2 linked regions of the Elephas maximus indicus genome follow. The protein of the gene in region 1 interacts with the protein of each later gene in a pairwise test. Links are inferred from orthologs where the notes say so. Each region holds a gene or a part of one and is shown in the gene's direction. Other genes may lie near its edges.

Evidence for each region. The genes of interacting proteins can lie anywhere in the genome.
Region 2: the proteins of ADAMTSL4 (region 1) and SMARCC1 interact in binary tests that used the Homo sapiens proteins (3 or more experiments, as listed by UniProt). The two-hybrid records come from large-scale screens. The link is inferred for Elephas maximus indicus from reciprocal best matches to the Homo sapiens genes ADAMTSL4 and SMARCC1.

The regions. Positions count from the first base shown.
Region 1 is NC_064821.1:184,670,710-184,678,237, forward strand, and holds the start of ADAMTSL4 (ADAMTS-like protein 4), read left to right. Parts: upstream 1-5,096; 5' UTR 5,097-7,192; coding exon of another isoform or gene 7,193-7,236; 5' UTR 7,237-7,364; coding exon 7,365-7,384; intron 7,385-7,528. Other genes in the region: translation initiation factor IF-2-like, read right to left, coding at 4,046-4,881, 4,989-5,049, 7,193-7,236. UniProt on the Homo sapiens protein: Positive regulation of apoptosis. May facilitate FBN1 microfibril biogenesis.
Region 2 is NC_064838.1:52,175,907-52,182,875, reverse strand, and holds the start of SMARCC1 (SWI/SNF complex subunit SMARCC1), read left to right. Parts: upstream 1-3,961; 5' UTR 3,962-3,976; coding exon 3,977-4,171; intron 4,172-6,969. UniProt on the Homo sapiens protein: Involved in transcriptional activation and repression of select genes by chromatin remodeling (alteration of DNA-nucleosome topology).

The DNA.
Region 1 (7,528 bases):
CAGTACCAAGGCCAAGTCTGTCACCATGGATCCCAGGACCCACATGCGAGGCACTGGTAGATTGAAATGTAGAAATCCAATCAAGAAGAATTCCAACTTCGGGAATTTCTGACCAAATTTAGTCTACAGAACGGTGGTTGGGAGGCTAGAACAGCCCGTCCACATCCCAGTACTCATGTTACCAAATGGCTCACATCCTGTTTCTTCATCATTCATCACCCAAGAGCCACCCCAGCCATGACAACCAGACAGTGCTGGAATGTGGCCAGAGCTGAGGCAGTACTCACCACTTCTTATCCCACAAACATTTATTAAATGCCTACTATATGCGAGGCAAAGGAGCCGTGGTAGCACAGTGGTTAAGCACTCAGTTGCTAACCAAAAGGTCAGCAGGTTAAACCACCAGCTGCTCCAGGGGAGAAAGAGGTGGCAGTCTGCTTCAGCAAAGATTACAGCCTGTGAAACCCAATGAGGCAGTTCTACTCTGTCCTACAGGGCGGCTATGAATCGGAATCGACTCGAAGGCAGTCGGTTTGGGTTTTTTTTTGTTTTTGGTATGTGCACGGCAGAGTGGTGGAAACAAAGCTAAACATGGAAGGTGCTTCCCTGACCTCCAGGTTCCTTGTAGAGAACAGGTAACAATACGCCCTTCTCGTAACTGCTGTGGGGAGTGGACTAACGGGGGCAAACCAAAGTCAAATGACCCGAAGAGCTGCATCAGTTGAAAGAACGAAAAACAGTGTGAGATAACGTGACAGGCCACTGGGAATCAACGCCCGGGGACCAGCCTGGCGTTTAGCAACTGGGAATGGAGTGGCTCTTCTGGAACAAAGGAGTTGAGCAAACCATGATTCTGAGGCAGAAAGGCAAACATCAGGCTTTTGGAAAATGGTTGTTATAACTATTAACCAAAAGACAGACAGTTTCACATTAGCTTCTGGACCCCCCCTTACACATCAGTTTTAGCATCCGCATTATCTTGGAATAGGAGCAACGTCTCACGTGAAACATGAAAGTCATAGTTAAAAACGTTATTTACAACATAACGAACATATTTAAGGTCACTGCATTGTACGTGTGACAATTGTTGAAATGGCAAATGTTTGTTACCTATATATTTACCACAACTTTTAATAAGTGTTTAACGATACATTTTTTAAAAATGTTACTTCATTCAGCACAAATACAACTTCCTTACTCTACTGCCTGAAAAAAAAATTTTTTTTTTTAATTGAGCTCAACTAACTTTTCTCGAAAATTTCACTTGCACAAAACATATACAGATGGTGCCTAAATTTAGAATCCTGGCTCTCATACTTTCTAGCTGTGAGATTTGCAGCAAGTTACTGAACTTCTCTTTGTGTCTTTGTTTCCAAATCTATAAGATGGCTCAACAGTCCCCACCTCACAGGATTACTAGGAGGACCGAGTAGGCAATGGGTATAAAGTTCTTCTAACAGCCCCGGGCACGGAGGAAGCACTGTGTTCACCTTAGCTATGTTGTTATTATTAAATCACTATGTGGAGCTAAAAGGCAGACCAATACTCAGCCTGTCCCCCTCCCTCTGTCCTTTATCTGTTCTCTCCCTCTACTTATTACCTAATCTTTTAGGAAACTTCTTTTTATCGTTGAGACAATGTCCACAAATTTAATCTGGTACTTCACAAGTTGCTGAGGCATAGGAAATTATTTTCTTTATACAATATTTTCAGAACATCAAGCCATGAGAGGTGACGCTGTAGTAAATCTTGTGAGCTCTTTGGTCTGCAGCCATTTCTTAACGGAAAAGACTATTTCTGACCTTCAGTTCATGGCAGCTACAAATGTCAAAGGTGGACATTTTCCCCCCTCCGAAATTCCCTTCTCACTCTCCTGCCTTCCTTCCCACCTTCCTTTCCCACAGCTCACCTCCTTGTAGATAAGTGGATGCTGATGGAGTGTGATCTGGGGGACGCTAAAAGGTCCAGGGCCTAAAACATCTTCGTCTTCCCCCATAAGCAGGGTGGTTCATCATAGGCATTATACTCTGAGGTCTGAGCAAAGGGGCTTCCCGCTCCAAATCTGCATCTATATATAAGCCTCTGGGTTAGGACCGTGTGTCATCAGGAGTCTCCAGATAAAACACCACTCCTGGGAGGGAGCTGTTAACCTATTATCTGCCTAAACCCTTTAGGAAGATGGACAGAGGAGGTTTTATGCAGAGGCACAAATCCAAAAGCCTGCAGGCAAATCTGACCCACAGGTGTGTTTTGTTGGGTCCGCTTGGAGTTCTGAGGCAATGGTAGAATTCTTGCTTTCCATGTGGGAGACCTGGGGGGGCTTGCATGTTGCTATGATGCTGAACAGATTTCGGGGAACCTTCCAGACTATGATAGACTGGGCAGTAGTTTGTTCTGTTGTGCATGGGGTCACCATGAGTAGGGGCCAGCTCGATGACAGCTAACAACAACTTGGTGTTTACAAGTTCGTTTTCACTGACTTTTAAAACCAGAATACAGCTGCTCTTGGAAAAGCAAAAACAAAAATAGAAGCCTTAGCAACACCGTCCTACACCCCGACTCAGTAACCGGGGTCTCAGGTGCCCCAGCCAGCCCACCTGCCTGTCCCGGGGCCTCTGAGTTCAGGGGGAAAAGTCAGGAGGGCAGGCCTGGGCACCTGGGACTCATTTGCCTGTTCCATAACACTGCAATTCAGATATTTCTTGTAACCCTACAGACACAAATACAAAATATGAAGAAATATAGATGATTCGAAGCACCATCAATAGACTCTGTCCTGAAAGAACGGTTTTATTGAGAAAACAAAATGTGCATGGTGACTCAAATAAGGATACAATTCTTGCATTTTAAAAGCATTTTATAGTTTCACTTGCGTAGTCTTCGAGATAATGGTTGCTTTTGCTGAGCCCAGCACTTATCCCCGCCGGCTCGCAGCGTCTGTCCACCATTGGACCAACTCTTGAGGCAAGAGATTGTCCTCTAACTGTGTTCTCAGCACCAAGGGCAAAAGGTGCTCAGGGCTAGGTGGGGGCACTCGAGATCCCTGTTTCTTTGTGGGGATGCACAGCAATGTTGCTAGAGCGTCTATTTTTGTGTTTTTGTTTGTCAAGAGAAGCTATAAAATATCTTGCTTTTAAAATACTGACAAGTCACTGGAAAAAAAAAAAAACCTTCAAAACACCAAGTAGACCCAACAAAACATAACCGTACATCATAAGTAAATGGCAAAAAAAAAAAATAGTAGTGACAACTTATTATCTATTCCCATCAGCCATTTTACAAATATTATTCATTTTTAACATAACTAATATATGGATGGAGTCCCCGGATGGTGCAAATGGTTAAGCACTCCACTACTAGGCCAAAGGCTGGCAGTCTGTACTCACCCAGAGGCACCTCGGAAGACAGTCCGGGTGATCTGCTTCGGAAAGGTCACAGCCTTGAAAACCCTATGAAGCGGTTCTACTCTGCACGCATGGGGTCGCCATGAGTCCGAGTCCAAATCTACTGGATGGTAAATAATAACAACAATATATGGATAAAATTTGTAGTTAAAAAAAAATTCAAACAACATATAAGCATACAGAGTAAAAAGCAAAAAGTCTCCATCCCTTCTCTAATCCCAAACCCCTCCTCAGATGTCACCACCCCTACAAGTTTGGGGTGCATTCTTCCAGCTATAATTAATAGATAGATGTATCTCCGAGCCTATCATAGATATCAAATTAGCCCCGTTTTATAGATGAGGAAACCGCAGCATTGAGAAGTTAAAGTATTCACCCCGAAGTTAAAGTATTCACCCCGAGTCCAGACAGCTAACAAGTGCTGGGGGCTGAGATTCAAATCCAGGTCAGTGTGACTCCTAAGTCAGCGCATTCCTTCCGCTACGCCCAGTGTGTAAAATTTTATGGATGAAGAAACCGAGGCTCTTAGAGGTCCCCGAGCCGTCAGAACCACTATGATTCACCACCCAACTTGGGAGAGGCAGAAGTGACTGGGTGGCACCGTTGGCTGCGTGGAGAAAGGAGCTTTGACCGACACGGACCTGGGGTTGGACGGGGCCATCTCGGCCCGGTGCACAGCCTCCATCTGGGGCCCGGGGCTGGTTCGCCTACGCCACCCAGCTGGACCCTTGGCGCCTCTCCAGGCTGCCCCGCCTGGGCAGGTGCCGCGCTCGCACCGCCCACCCAGAGCCGGCCCTGGGCCGGGGGTCCGCGAGTCCGCGAGCCCCAGCCGAGCCCAGCGCGCGGGCCGGCGACAGTGCCCGGGAGAGACGGCTGCCTCCAGCCCAGGCTGCGACCGCCTTGGCTTCGCTCCTCGAACCGTCGGAGGGTGCCCGACACTCAGGGGTCGCCGTGGCCAGCGGCCCCGGGTGGGTGGCCCCGGCCGGTCGACAGGCAGCCGGAGGTCGGCCGTCCCCACCCCGGGCGGCCGAGGGGCGCGTGGCGGCGGCGGGGCGGGGCGGCGGCGGGGCGGGGCGCAGGGGCGGAGCCGCAGCTGGAGGCGGCAGTGTCCCGAGCCCTGTTCTGGGGCCACAGTGGCCGCCGCGGAGCAAGGCTGTCTCGAGAGAGCGCCCGGGCGCAGAAGGGTTAACCGGCCCCTGGGGGCGCGGAGAGCAGGTACAGACCCTCCCTGGGACCCCGGCCACGGCCGCCCCCTCTTCCCGGTCCCGTTAGACCGGCCGCCCCGAACGCGCGCACCGCCCCCGCGCCTCGCGCTCCTTGGTCGCGCCCCCGCCACGACCCCGACCCCGGCACTTAGAGCCTCGGAAGATCTTCCAGACCCTGGGGTCGAATTCCCTGGGGCGGGGGGGGGGGGGTGCGCAGTCTGATCCTGTAGAACTCTGGCCCCATCACTCGGGCGGGGAATAAGCCAAAATTCCTACTCAGTCACATAGTAAAATTGGAAAACATACCCAGGACCTCCCGGCATGCGCCGACGCCGCCTCCCCTCCTCCGAGAATGTGTGCCCCCCACTCCGCCTTTTACTTTTTGAGGGGAATAGGGGCGCTGGGAGGCATGCAGGTGGGTGCCCTTGATCCAGCTTAGCCTGAGGGCAGAAGAGGTCGACCAAAGGAAGGACACCTGTTGGTACAGTCCTCCAGGACCCAAGAGTGGAGGACATGATGAGGACCGAAGAGTTCTGACACAGGACAGGGACTCTCCACCACCAGCCCAGAAACATACTGTTCAGCGGCTCCCTATTTCCCAGAGGTGGGTCCCTCTGGGTGTTGAGGAGTTAGCCCTGCCCAGGTCTTGCTCCTTGATCTTCACTGGCCAGTGTGAGGAGGTGTGGCCAGGAGGAGCCCAGGTTGTCGAGAGCAGCTTCCAGCCTGGCACCAGAGTGTCCACTTCTGACGTCTCCTTTCCTCACCCTGGGCATTGAGAGACACCAGATGAGGGATGTGAAAAGGGGTGTGTGCCTGTTTCCAGAGAGAAGGGGATATCTGCCCCCTGCCCAGCTGTGCAGGGGGGTGGGGGAGGTGGGACTTTTCCAGAGAGGGAGCCAGGCCTGGCCTGGGCCCCAGGAGCTCACGTCACTCCACCCCCCACCCTTCACTTCTCTAGGGATATGCCAAAGCCAAACCCAGCTCAGGACGGGATTATGTGTCCTGGGTAGACCCATGGAGAGAGACAGCGAGATACAAACCTCTGGTAACAGAAGCACAGACAGAGGGAGTACAGAGGGGACCTGGCAGCAGAGAAGGGCAGTGAGGGTCTTCCTCCATCTCTCCTTCGCTTCGACCTCAAGTTAGGGTTTTCAAGAGTCAGGCAGAGATATGGAGATTTGGGTGGAACGTAGGCCCTTCTCGGGAGCCCCCAGCGTCCCGCCCATCAGGGTGTAGTCTCTGACCTCAGTGGCTGGCCTAGCCAGGGGAAGGAGCTGCCATCGGCCTATCTCCCCCATCCCAACCCTGAGCAGCAGAGGTGACCCTGCTTGACCACTCTGGTCTCTCCCTCAAATTCGCAAGTCCTGGGGTCTTAGAGAGGGGAGTGGGTCTGGGTGTTGCTACCCCCAGGCACATTCCTGCCCTCCTCTCTGTCATTTTCCTGCCCTGGAGCTGGCCCACCTCAGCACTGGCTCCTTGGACTCCTCTTTGGGTGCCTTTCAGCTCCAACAGAAACACACTTTTTTTTTCCTGGAAAGCAGAACTAGAAGCAAAATGGTGGGCTGGGGATGGGAAGGGCTCAAAGGAAGAAGGAGGGGGCTGGAGGGCAAGGAGGGGTGGGCAGAGTCAGGCTTTAAGGTGGGGAGGGTTCCAACCCCCACTTCCCCAACCCTCAAAGCTAGACTTCAGGGAGAACTTCCTGAATCTTGAGAATGATAGGCCTGTGATTGGGGAGCAAGGGCAGCCCTGGCAGCCTCTCTCCTCAGGTTCTCCTAGCCTGTCACAGTTGCACATGAAACAAGCCCTCATTGAACCAGTCCAGGATCCTGGCACCCAGTCCATTAACTCATTGCCATTGAGTCAATTTCAACTCATGGCAACCTCATATGTTAGAGCAGAACTGTTCCATAGGGTTTTCTTGGCTGTCATCTTTATGGAAGCAGATGACCAGGACTTTCTTCCACAGTGCTGCTGGGTGGGTTCAGACTGTCAACTCTGAGGTTTGTAGTCAGGCACAGACCATTTGTGCCATTCAGGGACCTCTGGCCAGAGTGGAGCGTAAATCGCAGTGGGAAAATCATCTGTTTCTCTTGAGATTAAACCATCAACCCACTTAGTTTATCCCTTGGCTCGAAAGTTTTTGAGGCAGGCAGAGATGTGCCTGACTGTTCCATAAGGAGCTTAGCTAAGAAGGAAAGAAAAAGCTGGGAGGTAGGAAACAGAGATGGCTGGGGAGGCTCTTGTTTCTGGAAAACCCAAGGGGCTCCTTGTCAGATCCTCGGAGGGGACGTCTGGCATATCCTCACCAGAGCCTCCTTCCTCAACTTTCCAGGTACCCCTAGGGGGCAGGAGGGAGACCCAGATGAAAACCATATTAAGAAAACTCTGTGCTGGCCTAGAAACACCCAAGTTGGGTCTAGGGAGGAGTCAGAGGTTCCTACAGGGCCAGGGGGAGGGGACTGAGCCAATACTTGGGAGGCTGAGGTCAGACCCCCACCCTCTAGCTTCAGCAGATGGACAAAGGCAGTATGACTCCCTGCTCCCACCCTTAGAATCATAAAAAGGTGGGCCAGTCTCTCCCACCCCTCCATCTTCACTCTGAGACAGCCTTCTGAGGGCTCATCCATCCCGACGCCCCAGCTCTCTGAAGACTGAAGTAACCACGAGGCTTCCCTCCCCTCCACGCCCAGATGCCTGAGTAGTGCATTTACCTCCAGTCCCCTTCTCCCTAGCCCTGGGCAATCAGGGAGAAGTGATGGAGAAGTGGGCCGGCAGGTAAGAGGTGGGGCTGCCAGGGTGGGGGGAGCTCTGTCCCTGGACATGAGGGAGGGGAGAGCACAGGGAGAGGCAGGGGAAGTGATGAGTAACTTGTGCTTTCTGAGAGGCTGGTGGTCAGGATGTGGGGAGCTGCTGTGGGTA
Region 2 (6,969 bases), on another chromosome or scaffold:
CACTAAATGAGGGAAACTTTTGACTAAAATTTCTTTACATACTTTTTCTGCCTCATTCTTTCTCTCCTCTCTTTCTAGAAATATAATTACCTAGAAGTTAGGCCATTTGATATTGTTCCATAGGTACATGAGTCTGGTTTTTTTTTTTTCTCAGTTGTTCAGATTGGATAATTTCTATTGATGTATCTTGAAGTTCACTTTCTTCTGCCATCTCTATTCTGCTATTTAGTCCATCCAGTGAATTTTTATATCTTTAAATTTCATACATTTTTCAGTTCTAGATTTACCACTAGGTTTTCTTTTAGTTTCTGTGTGTCTGCTGGTTTTTTCTATTTGTTCATTCATTATGAGCATATTTTTTTTACATCCTTGGGTAAATTATACTACTTGCTTTACATCCTTGTCTGCTAATTCCAACATCTGGATAATCTTAGGATTGGTCTCCACCAATTGTATTTTCTTTTGAATATGGGTCATATTTTTCTATTTCTTTTTATATTTAATATTTTTGGATAATGTCCTGATCCTTGTGAATTATATGTTGTACATACTGTGAATTCTGTTTCTCTGAAGAGTACTGATCTTTTTCTCAGTTAGCCGGTTAGCCTGGCTGAACTCTAATTCCAACCCCTATCTTTTGTGCAATGGACAGGAACTAATCTCTGTTTACTTCTTTTAGCTTAGTTGAGCTGCTTGGAATCTGTTCCATGCATACATATTTCAGAGATTTAGTAGAGTTTATACACAGAATTTAGGGCTCCCCCTTTGTGACTCTCTCCTTCTAGGATTTTTTTTTTTATTGTGGTTGCTCCAAACTCTCTCCTCCAATTCTTCAAGTTAGTAAGAATATGAGTTTACTATCCAGGTTTTAGCCATCTGCTATAGGGTTAATTTCATTTTCTTTGCCAAGGATTAAAATAACAACAAGGTCCCTGTGATAGTTAATGTTATATGTCTATTTGACTAGACTCCAATTCTCAGTGGTTTGGCAGACATTGGACTGATTACTCTTCCACAATGTAACATAATCACTTTCATGATGTGATCAGTCAATGAGTCGAAAGGGGAGTTTCCTTGTGGGTGTGTTCTGGCAAGGCTCACGTGCTCAATCTCTCTCCCTCTGTCAACCCTGCACTCTTCTGGTCGCCTGACGTCTGACTCTTGGGACATAAGCCTGCAGAAGTCTTTAGCCTGGCACTTGACCTGCAGATTTTGGATTCGTGAGTCCCTGCAACCCTGTTAGTCAGCAGAGGCTTCCAGCCTGCTGCCTGACCTGCAGATTTTGGGATCATCAGCCCCTGCAACCATGTGAGCCAGCAGAAGCCTTCAGCCTGCTGCCTGATCCACAAATTTGAGACTTGCCAGTCCCTGCAATTGTGCGAGCCATTTCCTTGAAGTAAATCTTTCTCTATATAATTATGTATGGGTTCACTGGTTTTGCTCCTCTAGAGAACTCAGACTAAGATAGTGTCCAATTGTGGTCAGTGAAACATGAGGAGTCTCCTGAAAACTTATGAGAACTGCTAAAGTTATCTTGTTAGAAACTTCAAAATTGGGCCTACATTGAGAAATGGCTGAGTCCAGGGCTGTGGAGAGTACAAGATGAACCTGGAACATCTCATTATTTCAGAAGGCAAGACAATGCCAAAAGAATAATGCGGTCCTGTAAAAAAGACACAGATGCCAGTTGAGGGGTCTCCCACTGGCTAACTCTGGCACATTTTTAACATAAAAGTCAATAATGAACATGGATGAACATCAAAAACTTATGCTCTGTGAAATCAGTCAATCACAAAAGGACAGATATTGTATGATCTCCCACCCACTGCTGTCAAGTAGGTTCCGACTCATAGCGACCCTACAGGACAGAGTAGAACTGTCCCACATGGTTTCCAAAGCTGTAATCCTATGGGGCAGTTCTACTCTGTCCTATAGGGTTGCTATGAGTTGGAATCGACTTGATGGCAATCAGTTTGGTTTTTAAATCTTTACAGAAGCAAACTGCCACATCTTTGGGTTCAAACTGCCGACTTTTTGGTTAGCAGCTGAGTGCTTTAACCACTGTGCCACCAGGGCTCCTTTGTAAGATCTCATTTAAGTGAAATAACAAGAATAGGCAAATGTGTAGAGACCAAAGTTTATTAGTGGTTACCAAGGGCGAGAAGGACGGGGGGGAAAAGGGGAACCATTGTTTAGGAAGCGAGTGTTTGTTTATGGTGATGGGAAATTTGGCAACAATTATGGGTGATAGTTACATAACATAATCAATGTAATGGATATCATCAAACTGTACACCTGAAAAACACTGAATTGGCAAATGTGTTGCATGTATTTTTATAACAACACAAAATCAGTAATGATAGTAATAGACAATATAACCCATCGAATGAAATAGGAAATCAGGAGTCTATCCTGGTATAGTAGCCCTGGTGGTGCAGTGGTGGAGCAGTTGGCTACTAACCAAAAGATGAGCAGTTCGAATCCACCAGTCTCTCCTTGGAAACCCTATGGGGCAGTTCTAGTCTGTACCATAAGGTTGCTATGAGTTGGAATCAACTTGATGGCAAGTTTTTTTTTTTTTTTAATTTTATCTTGATATAAGTGGAAAATTTGGTGAGGAATGGTTTATATACTTTTGAAACACTTTTCTAGAATCTATGAATTATAAAAGGGAAAAGAACAACTTTACAGTGAAAACTGTTAGATACTCTTTAAATCAAATCACCAAAGTAATGGGAGAAATGAAATCTTGTGCCACCTAATAATATGCAATGAAAAGAACACAGCATTATTCCTGTGACATACCTGCGAAAGATGCACATCTGTCAACAAACCAAGACTAGGCTGTCTAATAACTTATGGTTACAATAAGAAAATAAGTAAAAATAACAGGGTGTATAAGTGCTACCCAGAGTTGAAGATTTTAAGCAGCCCTGGTGGCACAATGGCTTAATTCTTGGTTGCTTAATTCTTGAATCAGCGATTCAAGCCCACCAACCGCTCAGCAAGGGAAAAGACCTAGTGATCTGTTTCCAGAAAGATTACAGCCTAGGAAACCCTATGGGGGCAGTTCTACTCTGTCCTGCAGGGTCACTATGAGTCAGAACCCACTCCACCTAACAACATGTATAAACACGTGTCATTTATTTTCAGGCAAGACAGCAGATTGTAACTTCACAACCTTTAGCTTTTATTAGTATAGTGTCATCAATCGAAGATTGTATGCTTAGGGATCTCTCTGGAACACCTCCAGGTTATAGATTTGGAAAGCTACGTAAGTGAAAATCAGAGAAGGGCAGTGGAGTTCGCAGGAACAGCTAGCTGCCGAAATGAGCTTAGGCAGGAATGTGACAGTGTGGCTGGAGCCACGCAAGGGAGGACAAATCGGCTAAGTGAAGCGGCTCCGGGGCATAAAGGACCCTGACGGACGTTTATAAAGGCAGACTCGGTCGCTTCGTCTAGAGGGTCTGAGGGCAAGCGGGGAGTTGGTGCAATTCCTACCCGCAGGTGGGTCCCTCAGCACTCTATACCGGCTTTCCCTTCGGCATTTCTCACACCGGGCCTTTCCTCTCCGGTGTGGCAGACGATGAGACAAACGCGCCATGCGGTTACGGACCGCATAGCTACCCGACGCCGGAACCAGGGAAAGAGCGAGGCGTGCCGACGCCCAACGGGGGAAGCGGAGAGCGTAAACTGCAGGAAGAGGCGGGCAGAAGCGCTCGTCCGAAGTCGCACGCCGGGTGGTAGTGTTGCGCATGCTTGTGTGCATGGGAGTGCTGCGCATGCGTGTGCGCGTGCTCGCGTCGGTTAGGGCGCCAGCCCGAGATGGGGCGGGGCCGGGCATCCGCGCCGGAAGGGGGTTGGCTGGGCGGGGCTGGGAGGCGGAGGTGGCGGCGTCGCGCGCGCGCGCGGGTGCGAAGGAGAAGCAGCGCGAGGGCCCGGGCAGGCCGGGCGGTGGGGACGACGGACGGCCACGATGGCCGCGGCGGCGGGCGGTGGAGGGCCGGGGGCGGCAGCGGGCAGCGCGGGCGCGGGTGGCACGGCGGCAGCTGCGGGCCTGGCCGTTTATCGGCGGAAGGACGGGGGCCCGGCCAGCAAGTTTTGGGAGAGCCCGGAGACGGTGTCCCAGCTGGACTCGGTGCGGGTCTGGCTGGGCAAGCACTACAAGAAGGTGGGTTCGCGCGCCCGGGGGGCGCCGGGAGGGCACGCGCCGGGGACCGGGAGCGGCTACTGGCCTCGCGGGCCTCGGGCCGCCCCTCCCCCTCCGCGCGCCACGAGGGACAACAAAGGCCGGCGCCGGGGCCGCCACGCCCCCGCTGTCCACTCTCCGCGGCGGCCGGACCTGGGCCCGCCGGGGCCGGCACGCCCTCGCGAGCCCACGCACCCCGGGCGAAAGCTGCGTTCCCTAGTGTGCGGGAGCTGGCTGAGCCCAGGGCACAGAGGGTGTGAGTCTTTCTCTTTTGTTAGTTGCGTTAGATGCGTGAACAACGATCATTAAAAACTCAGCCAGCCTTGTAAACGCAGCTCAAGTTTTGTTTAGAGACTGAGACTCCGAAGTCTAGTGAGGTAACACAGGTTTTACTACCTGTTGTTGATTTGCTTAAAAAAAAAAGGGGGGGGCTATGGAAGGTTTGGTAATCCCGGTGGCGCAGTGGTTAAGAGCTACGGCTGCTAACCAAAAGATCAGCAGTTCGAATCCACCAGGCGCTCTTCGGAAATCTGTGGGGCAGTTCTGCTCTGTCCTATAGAGTCGCTATTAGTCGGAATCGACTCGACGGCAGTGGGTTTGGGCATGGAAGGTTTTACTCGGAAGTTAACAACAGGTCAATAAAATGAAGTATAGTCTTGATGAGAACTAATTTTTAAAAATGATAGTGTTTACTTCGTTGTGCTTTTGGTTCTGAGTACAAAGGTTAATGTTTACTTGCACTCAATGTGTTCTTCAGTGTGGCCTTCTAGAGAACCCCATTTATATTAGATCACTCCACTTCCTATCGTTTTCGTACTAGTGGTTACCACTCTCTGAAATTATTTTTCGTTTACCTGATGGTCGTCTGTTTTTGGAATGTAAGTTCTGCTGAAGAAGTGGTTTTGAAAGTTGCCGCTTAACCCCTTAACAAATGTTTTTAATTCAGGAATGACTCCATTAGAAGGTGTAATGAGGCAAACAGCTAAAAACACTCTCTGTGCCCACGACAAGTTTTTGGAGCTTTCTCTCAGTTCTGTAATTTCCCTCATTGAGGACCATAGCAGGGCGGGGCAGGGACCTTGTCAGGCCTGTTTACCACCGTGTGTTCTGGAAGGCGGTTTGTGTTGGGTGCCTCACCCTTAGTAGTAGTTTAGTAAATATTTGTTGAGTGAATGAACAGATAAACTAGTCCAGGAACCTATTCGTTTGGGGCCTACAGTGCGGTGAAGCCTGCCAGCTTTTGGCAGTTGTTCGGCATGGGCAGGGGTCTTGGGTTCCTTCCCCATCACACTGTGATTCATTCAGAAATGACTTTTTTTTTTTTATCTGAAGTTGTAGGAAGTGAGAGGCAGTTATATCATTTGACTTTTCTAGTATGGGAGTCGTATTTGGGACTGTAGTTTTTCTCATCTACATGTAAGTAGACAGTATTGTACTCATTTGTGTAGTGATAAATTGGTCACTTTTTTTTGATAGGTTACAGAGCTTCTGGAAGTGGCTAAGAGAATTGGGTATATTGTGAAAATATTTCTTTTTATCAGGTTTCCTTCAGCCAATACTTTGGGTCTTAAATTTAGTGTAGCTTTAAAAAAGAAAATACTGAGGAGAATTATCCTTTTGAGTATAAGGAAGAGAATGGAAAAGGGCAAATAAATAGTCACTTCCACCTTTCCAAATTCTCAGTGTGGGTCAGCTTGGACCCAGTTTTAGGAGGGCAGCTTTAGACTTGGATAATCCTTCAGAGATTTGTTTAGGTGGGTGAGAAAATGGCTGAGAGGCTAACTAAAAGGTTCCTTGTGATGTTGAAGCCACTTGACTAAGGTTGGCTCAGTGTCTCTGAGGCCTTAAAGGTAGAGTCAAAGTTAGGCTTGACTTATCTAGGGCCTTGTGAAGCTAGAGCAGATTTCTTGGGCCTGCTCAGATTCGCAGTTGTATTCCGTGTCAGGCCTGGCAGCCAGAATCCTACCAGCCTCTGGGAGTGGTGTTGGAGTGATGGAAATACTAACTAGAAAGCTCTTGGCTTCTTTTCTACACAGTATATTTCTGCTTGGTATGCACATTGATGAGTTTTAACTAAACATTTCTGTTGCTTTCAGTGCTACATTTTCAGAGCAGCTACAACTTAAATATCAGCAGCTGAATGAATTAAGGTGACATGGCTAGTTCCATTTTTATTAATGGTTTTTTCCATGTATTCAGTTACTGAGCATTTACCATATGTCACATATCCAATATTTAAATCCTCACAGCAGTCCTGAAAGGTAAAGATTTTATTTATTTATTTACAAATAATAGAAATGTGAAGCTCTGGATTTAAGTAACTTCTTCAAGATCATGGTTAGGAGTAGCAAATTAGGGATTCAGTGACAGTCCACCTGGCTGCAAAGCCCAGAATCTTTTTGCTGCCTGCAATCTCTCGATTGAAGGAACTCACAATCTGTGGGAAGAGATACACATAGATACCTGCTTGTGAATTAAACCCAGGCAGTTTCAAATTAAGAGAGAGCTTCTTTCTCTTTGTTTTTAAATGCTCTTAGTAGGTGTTCAGTTAGTATTTGTTGAATAAATGAACAGATTAACTAGGCTTAGGAACCTATTCATTTAAGGCTTTATTGATAAATTTGGTCTAGCAACAGAGGGAGGGTGAATACTTTTTGACTGTGGTGAACTTCAAATGGGTGAAAGGAGTTGACAACCTTAGTGAAACACGGGAGGTTCACTGTTTGCCTGAGGTTGCATTTTCAGTCCAGTAGCAGTGCAGAGGCTTGCTCATGCCCTAT